Neurospora crassa OR74A: one gene and its partner. The protein of the gene in region 1 binds, or shares a complex with, the protein of each later gene. Links are inferred from orthologs where the notes say so. Each region holds a gene or a part of one and is shown in the gene's direction. Other genes may lie near its edges.

The links.
Region 2: NCU01625 (region 1) and NCU06646 share a complex: the UniProt entries of both Saccharomyces cerevisiae proteins name them as parts of the 7-subunit TFIIH core complex. The link is inferred for Neurospora crassa OR74A from reciprocal best matches to the Saccharomyces cerevisiae genes RAD3 and TFB5.

Annotation. Positions count from the first base shown.
Region 1 is NC_026502.1:2,932,209-2,936,490, forward strand, and holds the start of NCU01625 (DNA repair helicase RAD3), read left to right. Parts: upstream 1-1,395; 5' UTR 1,396-1,915; coding exon 1,916-1,932; intron 1,933-2,012; coding exon 2,013-2,053; intron 2,054-2,112; coding exon 2,113-2,142; intron 2,143-2,205; coding exon 2,206-2,708; intron 2,709-2,784; coding exon 2,785-4,282. UniProt on the Saccharomyces cerevisiae protein: ATP-dependent 5'-3' DNA helicase.
Region 2 is NC_026505.1:4,109,143-4,112,513, forward strand, and holds NCU06646 (RNA polymerase II transcription factor B subunit 5), read left to right. Parts: upstream 1-1,628; 5' UTR 1,629-1,853; coding exon 1,854-1,872; intron 1,873-2,013; coding exon 2,014-2,162; exon of another isoform or gene 2,163-2,281; coding exon 2,282-2,332; 3' UTR 2,333-2,466; coding exon of another isoform or gene 2,467-2,576; 3' UTR 2,577-2,657; downstream 2,658-3,371. Other genes in the region: NCU06647 (enoyl-CoA hydratase/isomerase), read right to left, coding at 2,467-2,576, 2,658-3,041, 3,155-3,371. UniProt on the Saccharomyces cerevisiae protein: Component of the general transcription and DNA repair factor IIH (TFIIH) core complex, which is involved in general and transcription-coupled nucleotide excision repair (NER) of damaged DNA and, when complexed to TFIIK, in RNA transcription by RNA polymerase II.

The DNA of each region.
Region 1 (4,282 bases):
CTAATCATCACCGCCGTGTAGAGGAGGGAAGAGGAGTCAGTTAAAGTTCTGACGGCCACAGCAGCGGCGTCTAAAACAAGTTATAAGTACCAGCCCGGCTACCTACCTCTAGGTAAGGTACCTACTCACCTCTGACAGCCGATTTGATGCAAGTAGGAGGCGTTCGGGGAGTCGATTCAAATCCTCCGTCCTCCCTCCCTCGCCCCGATCTAGACTCAACGGCAGCAAGGGCGCGCCTACCTATCTACCTACATACACCCATCACCACGCACCCACCCTGAGTACCTCTGTGTAGATATGGAAGTAAGTCCGGGGCGAAGGATCGCAACCGCGCGGCGGGGTTTGGGAATCCTTCGGAAGTCTACCTACTTGGAATTGGGAACTTTGCTGCTGCTCCAAACCGGCGGTTAAGTAGTAATGAGCAGACAAGCGCCGCCGCCGCGATTTGATGAGCCCCGTTTTTCTTCCATCGTGACAGTCGCTGCTCGTATTCACTCATGCGCCAACAACCGCCGGTGGTGGCATACGAGAGTCGGGGTATCAAAGTCACCACCCAAAGTGGAATATGTACCTGGCAGTCAGTTGACGTTCCATGAAGAGTGGTGGGTGACTCCCGAGTCGATGTGGGAACTTTGAGCTCTTGGATTCCAACAACTACCTACGGGACAGCCACATAAAGGTTATGCTGAGATACTGCATGTGTGACTGAGAGATATGAAAGTGTTGAGGATCGCCGTGGTACTCCACGGACGGTATTGAAGTGAGAGGTGGAATTAATCTATTTGCTCCCGATCGTTGATTTCAAGCGTCTGAGATGATGAGGTTTCTCCCTTCTTGCAGCTTGTTTTGGCGCTTTCGTTTTCCCGCTACTTTGAAGGACCTGTCTTTCCATCGGTCGTTTTTTTAATCTTCCTTTTGAATAAGACCCATGGACTGATAGATAATCGGCAAGATGGCGATCCTTCGTACTGAGCGCGGAAGTACCAACACTGATAGTTATCGTATAATCCGAATCCGAGGAAATTCCAAGTCCGCCGATTGCTGTAGACTTGAAGCATTGCAATCACTAAGAGAAGACGGACTACCTCTATCAGCGCGGCCTGTGCACCAGTTTTTGAGCATGGAAGCGAGTGTGCGCAAAGGAAATATGAATATAGAGGCTGCTGAGGAAGTGGAAGTGACGATGAAGTTGTGGTGTTCCAGTCGTTTTTGAATGTGAAGGCCACAGTGCAATTGAACTATGAGAAAGACTGTGCGTGTGGGGGGTCCACACTCACTGCAGTCAATCCGGCATCAGCGGGCCGGCAACAAGCGTGCCGGACCGGCAGCAGCTCACCGTAAAAGTATCACCGTACCTGACCTTGTGCCAGATCCGGATTCCCAGAAACAGCACATCATTGATCCATCAAATCCACCGAGATCCTGTCCTGAAGCTGATCGCCACAGGCCACCGCCAGGCAACCTTGGCACGTGCTTTCTCGACTTCACAAATCTATACAACAACAAGCGCAATACAAACAGCCATAATAATAGAGATACGCGGTCTAGGGGAAGACCTGAGGCTGCATACTTGAGACAAGGGAGGAGGCCCCTTTGAATACCGAAGAACAGACGAACGACTGCCCCCGCCAAGACCCAAGATAGAAGCTCCAGCGTGCAGACACATGCCAAAAGTTGACCTCGATTTCACGACTTCTCGCTTCTCACCAAACCAAACATCGAAATAGAACATCAAACGACCATATTAAGCATCAGCCCTGTCGCACTTCTCCATCCGGACACCCGCGTCGATTAGATATTCTGCGACATAGTAAAACCAGCAAGAACATTCATCAACGTTGCTGCTGCCCGCGCAGCCATTCGTAATTCCTTCCCTTTGTCCGTGTATCCAAGGCCGTGATACTACACGCCCACCATGGAGTTCAACATCGAGTAAGAGCCAAATCCGAGATGACGCGTTCGCGTTCTTGGTCTGTAAAAAACCAGATAACTAACTTGCCGGCAAACAACAGCGATCTCCCAGTTCTGTTTCCTTACCCAAGGATATATCCAGGTATGTGAGCTCATCCACATTGGTACACCATCACAAGTGCTGACAGACCGACTACACAGAACAATATGCGTACATGGTGGACTTGAAAAGTGAGCATTCAACAAATAGCTCACACTCATCACACGTCCACTGACCACCACCACTCCCCACAGAAACCCTCGATGCAGGCGGGAACTGTGTCCTGGAAATGCCTTCGGGCACCGGCAAGACCGTCACCCTTTTGTCACTCATCGTCGCCTACCAGCAATACTACCCAGAGCACCGGAAGCTGATCTACTGCTCGCGAACAATGTCCGAAATCGAAAAGGCCCTCGTTGAGCTGAGAGCACTCATGAAGTTCCGAGCCGAGCGGCTGGGGCACGAAGAAGAGTTTCGCGGTCTCGGTCTGACAAGTCGAAAGAACCTGTGTCTGCATCCCTCGGTCAAGCGGGAGAAGAGCGGTGCCATTGTCGACGCGAGGTGTCGCAGCTTGACGGCCGGCTTCGTCAAGGAGAAGAGGGAAAAGGGGGAGAATGTGGAGACGTGCGTCTACCACGACAATCTCGACCTTCTAGAACCGCATAACTTGATCCCTAACGGAATTTGGACACTGGATGGCCTGATGAGGTATGGCGAGGAAAAGAAACAGTGTCCTTATTTCACTGCCAGGAGGATGGTAGGTCTCTTCTCAACACCCCAGGATGCGGATGTAATAGCTCGAGATGCCATACATACTAACAGCTCATATGTAGATGCAACACTGCAACGTCATCATCTACTCCTATCACTACCTCCTAGACCCCAAGATCGCCGAGCGCGTGTCCAAGGATCTATCCAAGGACTGCATCGTCGTCTTTGACGAGGCTCACAACATCGACAACGTCTGCATCGAGTCTCTAAGTACCGACATCACCCAGGACTCACTGATGAGGGCAACCAGGGGTGCTCAGAACTTGGAGGCCAAAATCAGCGAGATGAAGGACTCTGATCAAGAGAAACTTCAGTCCGAGTACGAAAAGCTAGTCGAAGGACTCAAGGGTCTAGATGAAGGGCGACAGGAGGATGCTTTTATGGCTAACCCAACACTACCCGACGATCTGCTCAAGGAGGCTGTCCCCGGCAATATCAGGCGAGCCGAGCACTTCGTTGCCTTCCTCCGGAGATTCATCGAATACCTCAAGACCCGCATGAAGGTCCGCCAGGTCATCTCCGAAACACCACCATCCTTCCTCGCCCACCTGAAAGAATACACCTTCATCGAGAAGAAACCGCTCCGGTTCTGCGCCGAGCGTCTAACCTCGCTAGTACGGACCCTCGAGCTCACCAACATTGAAGACTACCGGCCACTCCAAGAAGTAGCCACCTTTGCAACCCTCGTCGCCACCTACGAAAAGGGCTTCCTACTGATCCTCGAGCCCTACGAATCCGACACGGCCAAGACCCCGAACCCAGTCCTGCACTTCACCTGCCTCGACGCCGCCATCGCCATCAAGCCCGTCTTCGACCGATTCAGCTCCGTCATCATCACCTCCGGTACCATTTCCCCCCTTGAAATGTACCCCAAAATGCTCAACTTCGAAACCGTCGTGCAGGAATCCTACGCCATGACCCTCGCCCGCCGCTCTTTCCTCCCCATGATCGTCACCCGCGGCTCCGACCAGGCCTCCATCTCCACCTCCTTCCAAGTCCGCAACGAGCCCAGCGTCGTGCGCAACTACGGCAATCTCCTGACCGAGTTCGCCCGCATCACGCCCGACGGCATGGTCGTCTTCTTTCCCTCGTACTTGTACATGGAATCCATCATCTCCATGTGGCAAGGCATGGGCATCCTCGACGAAGTGTGGAAGCACAAACTCATTCTGGTCGAAACCCCAGACGCGCAAGAAACCTCGCTAGCGCTCGAGACGTACCGCACCGCCTGTTGCAACGGCCGCGGCGCCATCTTGCTCTGCGTCGCGCGCGGTAAAGTGTCCGAAGGCATCGACTTTGACCACCAGTACGGCCGCACCGTGCTCTGTATTGGCGTGCCCTTCCAGTACACCGAGTCGCGCATCCTCAAGGCCCGCTTGGAGTTCCTGCGCGAAACGTACCGCATCCGCGAAAACGACTTTCTCTCTTTCGACGCCATGCGCCACGCCGCGCAGTGTCTGGGGCGCGTCTTGCGCGGAAAAGACGACTACGGAGTCATGGTGCTGGCGGACCGGCGCTTCATGAAGAAGCGCGCGCAGCTGCCCAAGTGGATTAACCAAG
Region 2 (3,371 bases), on another chromosome or scaffold:
GGCTGGAGTCGGGGAGAACATAAGTAAGATGAGGGATGGAAGTCGGTCGGCAGCGGTACGTGTGATGATGGCGTTGCATGCCGGTCCGCGCAGCTCGGGGCCTTGGGCTGCTGTAAGTGGACAATGGGAAGCTGCGGTGCTGGTGCGTGAAACAACTGTCCAGTGACAGCCCGAGTGCTTCACTGCAGTGGTCTTTTTGTGAAGCCGGGGGATACTGTGATCTGCAATGCAGGGTAGCACCTGAGGTTGCAGTCGATGGAGGTAATTTCACCAACTGCCCAACCTTATTATCTGGGTGCGGTGCGGGCATTCTGACTGCAGCGCGGGTCACTACACCGTAGGATTGACCGCAGCCAGACGACACAACGAACTTGTACGGCAACGGCAAGTGCAGTAATGAGGCATGTCTTGGCCCTGGTCTTCTTCTCGCGCTTCCAGAAGGTCGTCTTCAGAACGGAAGGAAGCACCGCCATGTTCAAGAATGCGGGCTTCGTTTGCGATCACATCTTCGACAGTTCATCGGGTCTTTCACTTTTGTCACATTTCAGTTTGGTGTAACAAGGCGCTACCGGTTATCGAGCTCCCGATGCACAGAATCTGAAACCGCCATCGGCAAGTCGTACCTAGTCACCTCTATCCGCCCTCGTCATATCGACGTTTGTTTTTCTTTTCTTTTTCTTACTTTCCTTTCCTTTTTTCTTTTTCATTCTCAAGACGGATAAAAGACTGGACATGGCATGTTTTGAACGGGTAGGGTACGTTGGTTTGCTGCACCTATTTCATCATTGTCAGCCAACGACATACTACCTCGGTCCCTGCGCCGCAAGGCAATCCAGGAGCAAACAAGAGGGTTTTGGGACTCCCTGGACAGAAAAGATATTTCTTGGTCTCCATCGCAGCTCCCTGCCCTGGATCCTCGTGAAATACTCCCAACTCTCAGTCTAGGCACCACTCAGTACCCGCACCCAATATCCGAGCCATACTATCACTAATCTGAGCTTGCGATTGGCACGAGTTTTGAGATTCGATCTCCGCTCCCACGCTGGCACTCTCAAGCGAAAAGGTGGGGTGGTTTACTGCAAGCGGTTAAGCCTTCCCGCCCAGCGATCCCTGGCAGCGTCCAGGGCCCGAAACGGCCACACAGAGTGGGAAAGTGGTTACAGGATTCGTTTTTTTGGAGACGCCATTGTCCCCCCTTGCCTGTGACTGCTTTGATCACATTCGGGGTTTCCATTAAGTAAGATCCAATGTGATCATCCAGACCAGCCGGCCACTCATGGACGAATTATTTGTTGAAGCTTGTTGGTAAGGGAATGTGAGAATCATCTATACACACTGTTCTTGCAATTGAGGTTGAAGTGAAGGTCATGATGCCCTCATCATCTATTCATCTGATCTGGAGGGACAGCACCTGGATTCAAGGTTCAGTAAGTATAATTGCGGGTATGTAATCGCAAGGCAAGTTTTCTGACCTGAACCCGAACGTATGTACCTACGTAATGTTCCGTATTCTGCAAGCGTACGTAGGTACCCGTGTCTGCCGCTGCTTCTCTGTCACTTCATGCCAGGTTGCTCGCGTCGTTACAGAGAAGGCGCTGCCAACAAATTGTACGCTCAAACGCTGTATTTGAGTTACCATACAGCAACACAAACCCATTTCTTCCACGCCAACCATCTAACGATCCAACCATATCCCGACCAACAACCAGCACAGCCCGATACATTCCAAACCACGTCGCATACGACATTGTTCTCAGAGCATATACCCAAAAGGCCAACTTGATGAGGGCTACGGCGACATAAAAAAATCACAGGACATTTTGCCATCCCGCCAGAAACTACAGCTATTCAAGATGCCGAGAGCAATCAGAGGTCAGTATGGATTCCCATGAAATACCATATAAATGACGTGTACATGGGCTTGTCTAGTCAAGACTCATTCATAAGCAACAGCACAGCACGACTCTAACGCAAAACAAATACTCACCCTGCTAACACTGGTCCCTGGCTCAGGTGTACTCATCCAGTGCGAACCAGCCATCAAGTCCATCATCGTTCACTTGGATAGTGTTAACAACGATATCATCATCGAAGATCTTGATGAGCAGACCCTGGTTGTTAAGGAAAACATGGTGCAACTGCTCAAACAGAAACTCGAGGACGTAAGTCATATGCTTCCCCTTTGCTTTGTCCAGTGTGACCGTTTGGCCCGCATCGTGAACTAGATATCATGTCCGATTATATCACCTTCCTCTGGCTGACACTTTCCTACCTACAACAGCGCCTGAAGGAAACATACAGGCCCGAGGAACCGCTGGCAGATAGTGACTAGGAGTTGCCTAGTAAATAGGAGACGCATACGTAGTGACTTCAAGTCGCTGAACCCCCCCGAATTACATGCATTTATTTATACACCTTCAACACTGCGTAGCAGTTACCAGCCTGCGATGGACTACTTGATCCTCTTTAAAGCTTTGAAAAGACGGGCTTCTTCTTCTGCACACTAGCCGATAACGCGTCCATCATATCTCTTGATTGCAAAGCAGCCGAGTTCCAGACGGTGGTATACCGTAAGCCTGTGTCAAAATTATCAGTTTAGCCTTTCCTTCACGATAACGAGCAACGAGGAGGAAGAGAAACCAAGAAAGGAAACGTACTTTCAGAAACCGAATGGTCCCTTGCGTGGTTCAACAACTCCTTAGTTCCCTGTACAGCAATCGGGCTCTTCCCAGCAATCAAGCCCGCCAGCTTGATCGCCTGATCCAGGGCAGCCACCTTGCTGTCGAGAACTTGGCTGACGAAGCCGACCTGTTGCGCCTCGGTCGCGCCAAACTCTCTTGCCGACATGCATACCTCCTTCACCCACGAGAAGTTGCCGACGGCCTTGGGCAGCCGGCTCAGCGTGCCAATGTCGGCGGCCAGGCCGATGTCGACCTCCTTGACGGCCAGCCGAACGTCACGCGTGCAGAGCCGAATGTCGGCGGCGCAGGCGATGTCGATGGCGAGGCCGAGGGAGATGGCGTGGAGGACGACGATGACGGCTTCAGGGAGTTTCTGTAGGTTAGCAAGATTCGCATGCACTGGTTCATTGGCTTGACGTATATATATCACCCTGGGTAACGAAGAGTGACAAGTCGGCACAGTCAATACATACGTTTCTCGCACAATTCAATAGCCGAAATGCTATCCTGAAATTCAGTAATGTATCTTCTCAACTGGGCCGCCTTGCGCCCGACGTCGAGGGCGCCGCTCGACTGCAGCTGGTTGTTCGAGCTGGCCGCGTGGATGTCCAAACCCGCCGTGAAACCCCGGTCACCGGCGCCCGAGAGCACCACGGCCCGCACGTCCGGGTCCGACGACAGCTGCCGGAA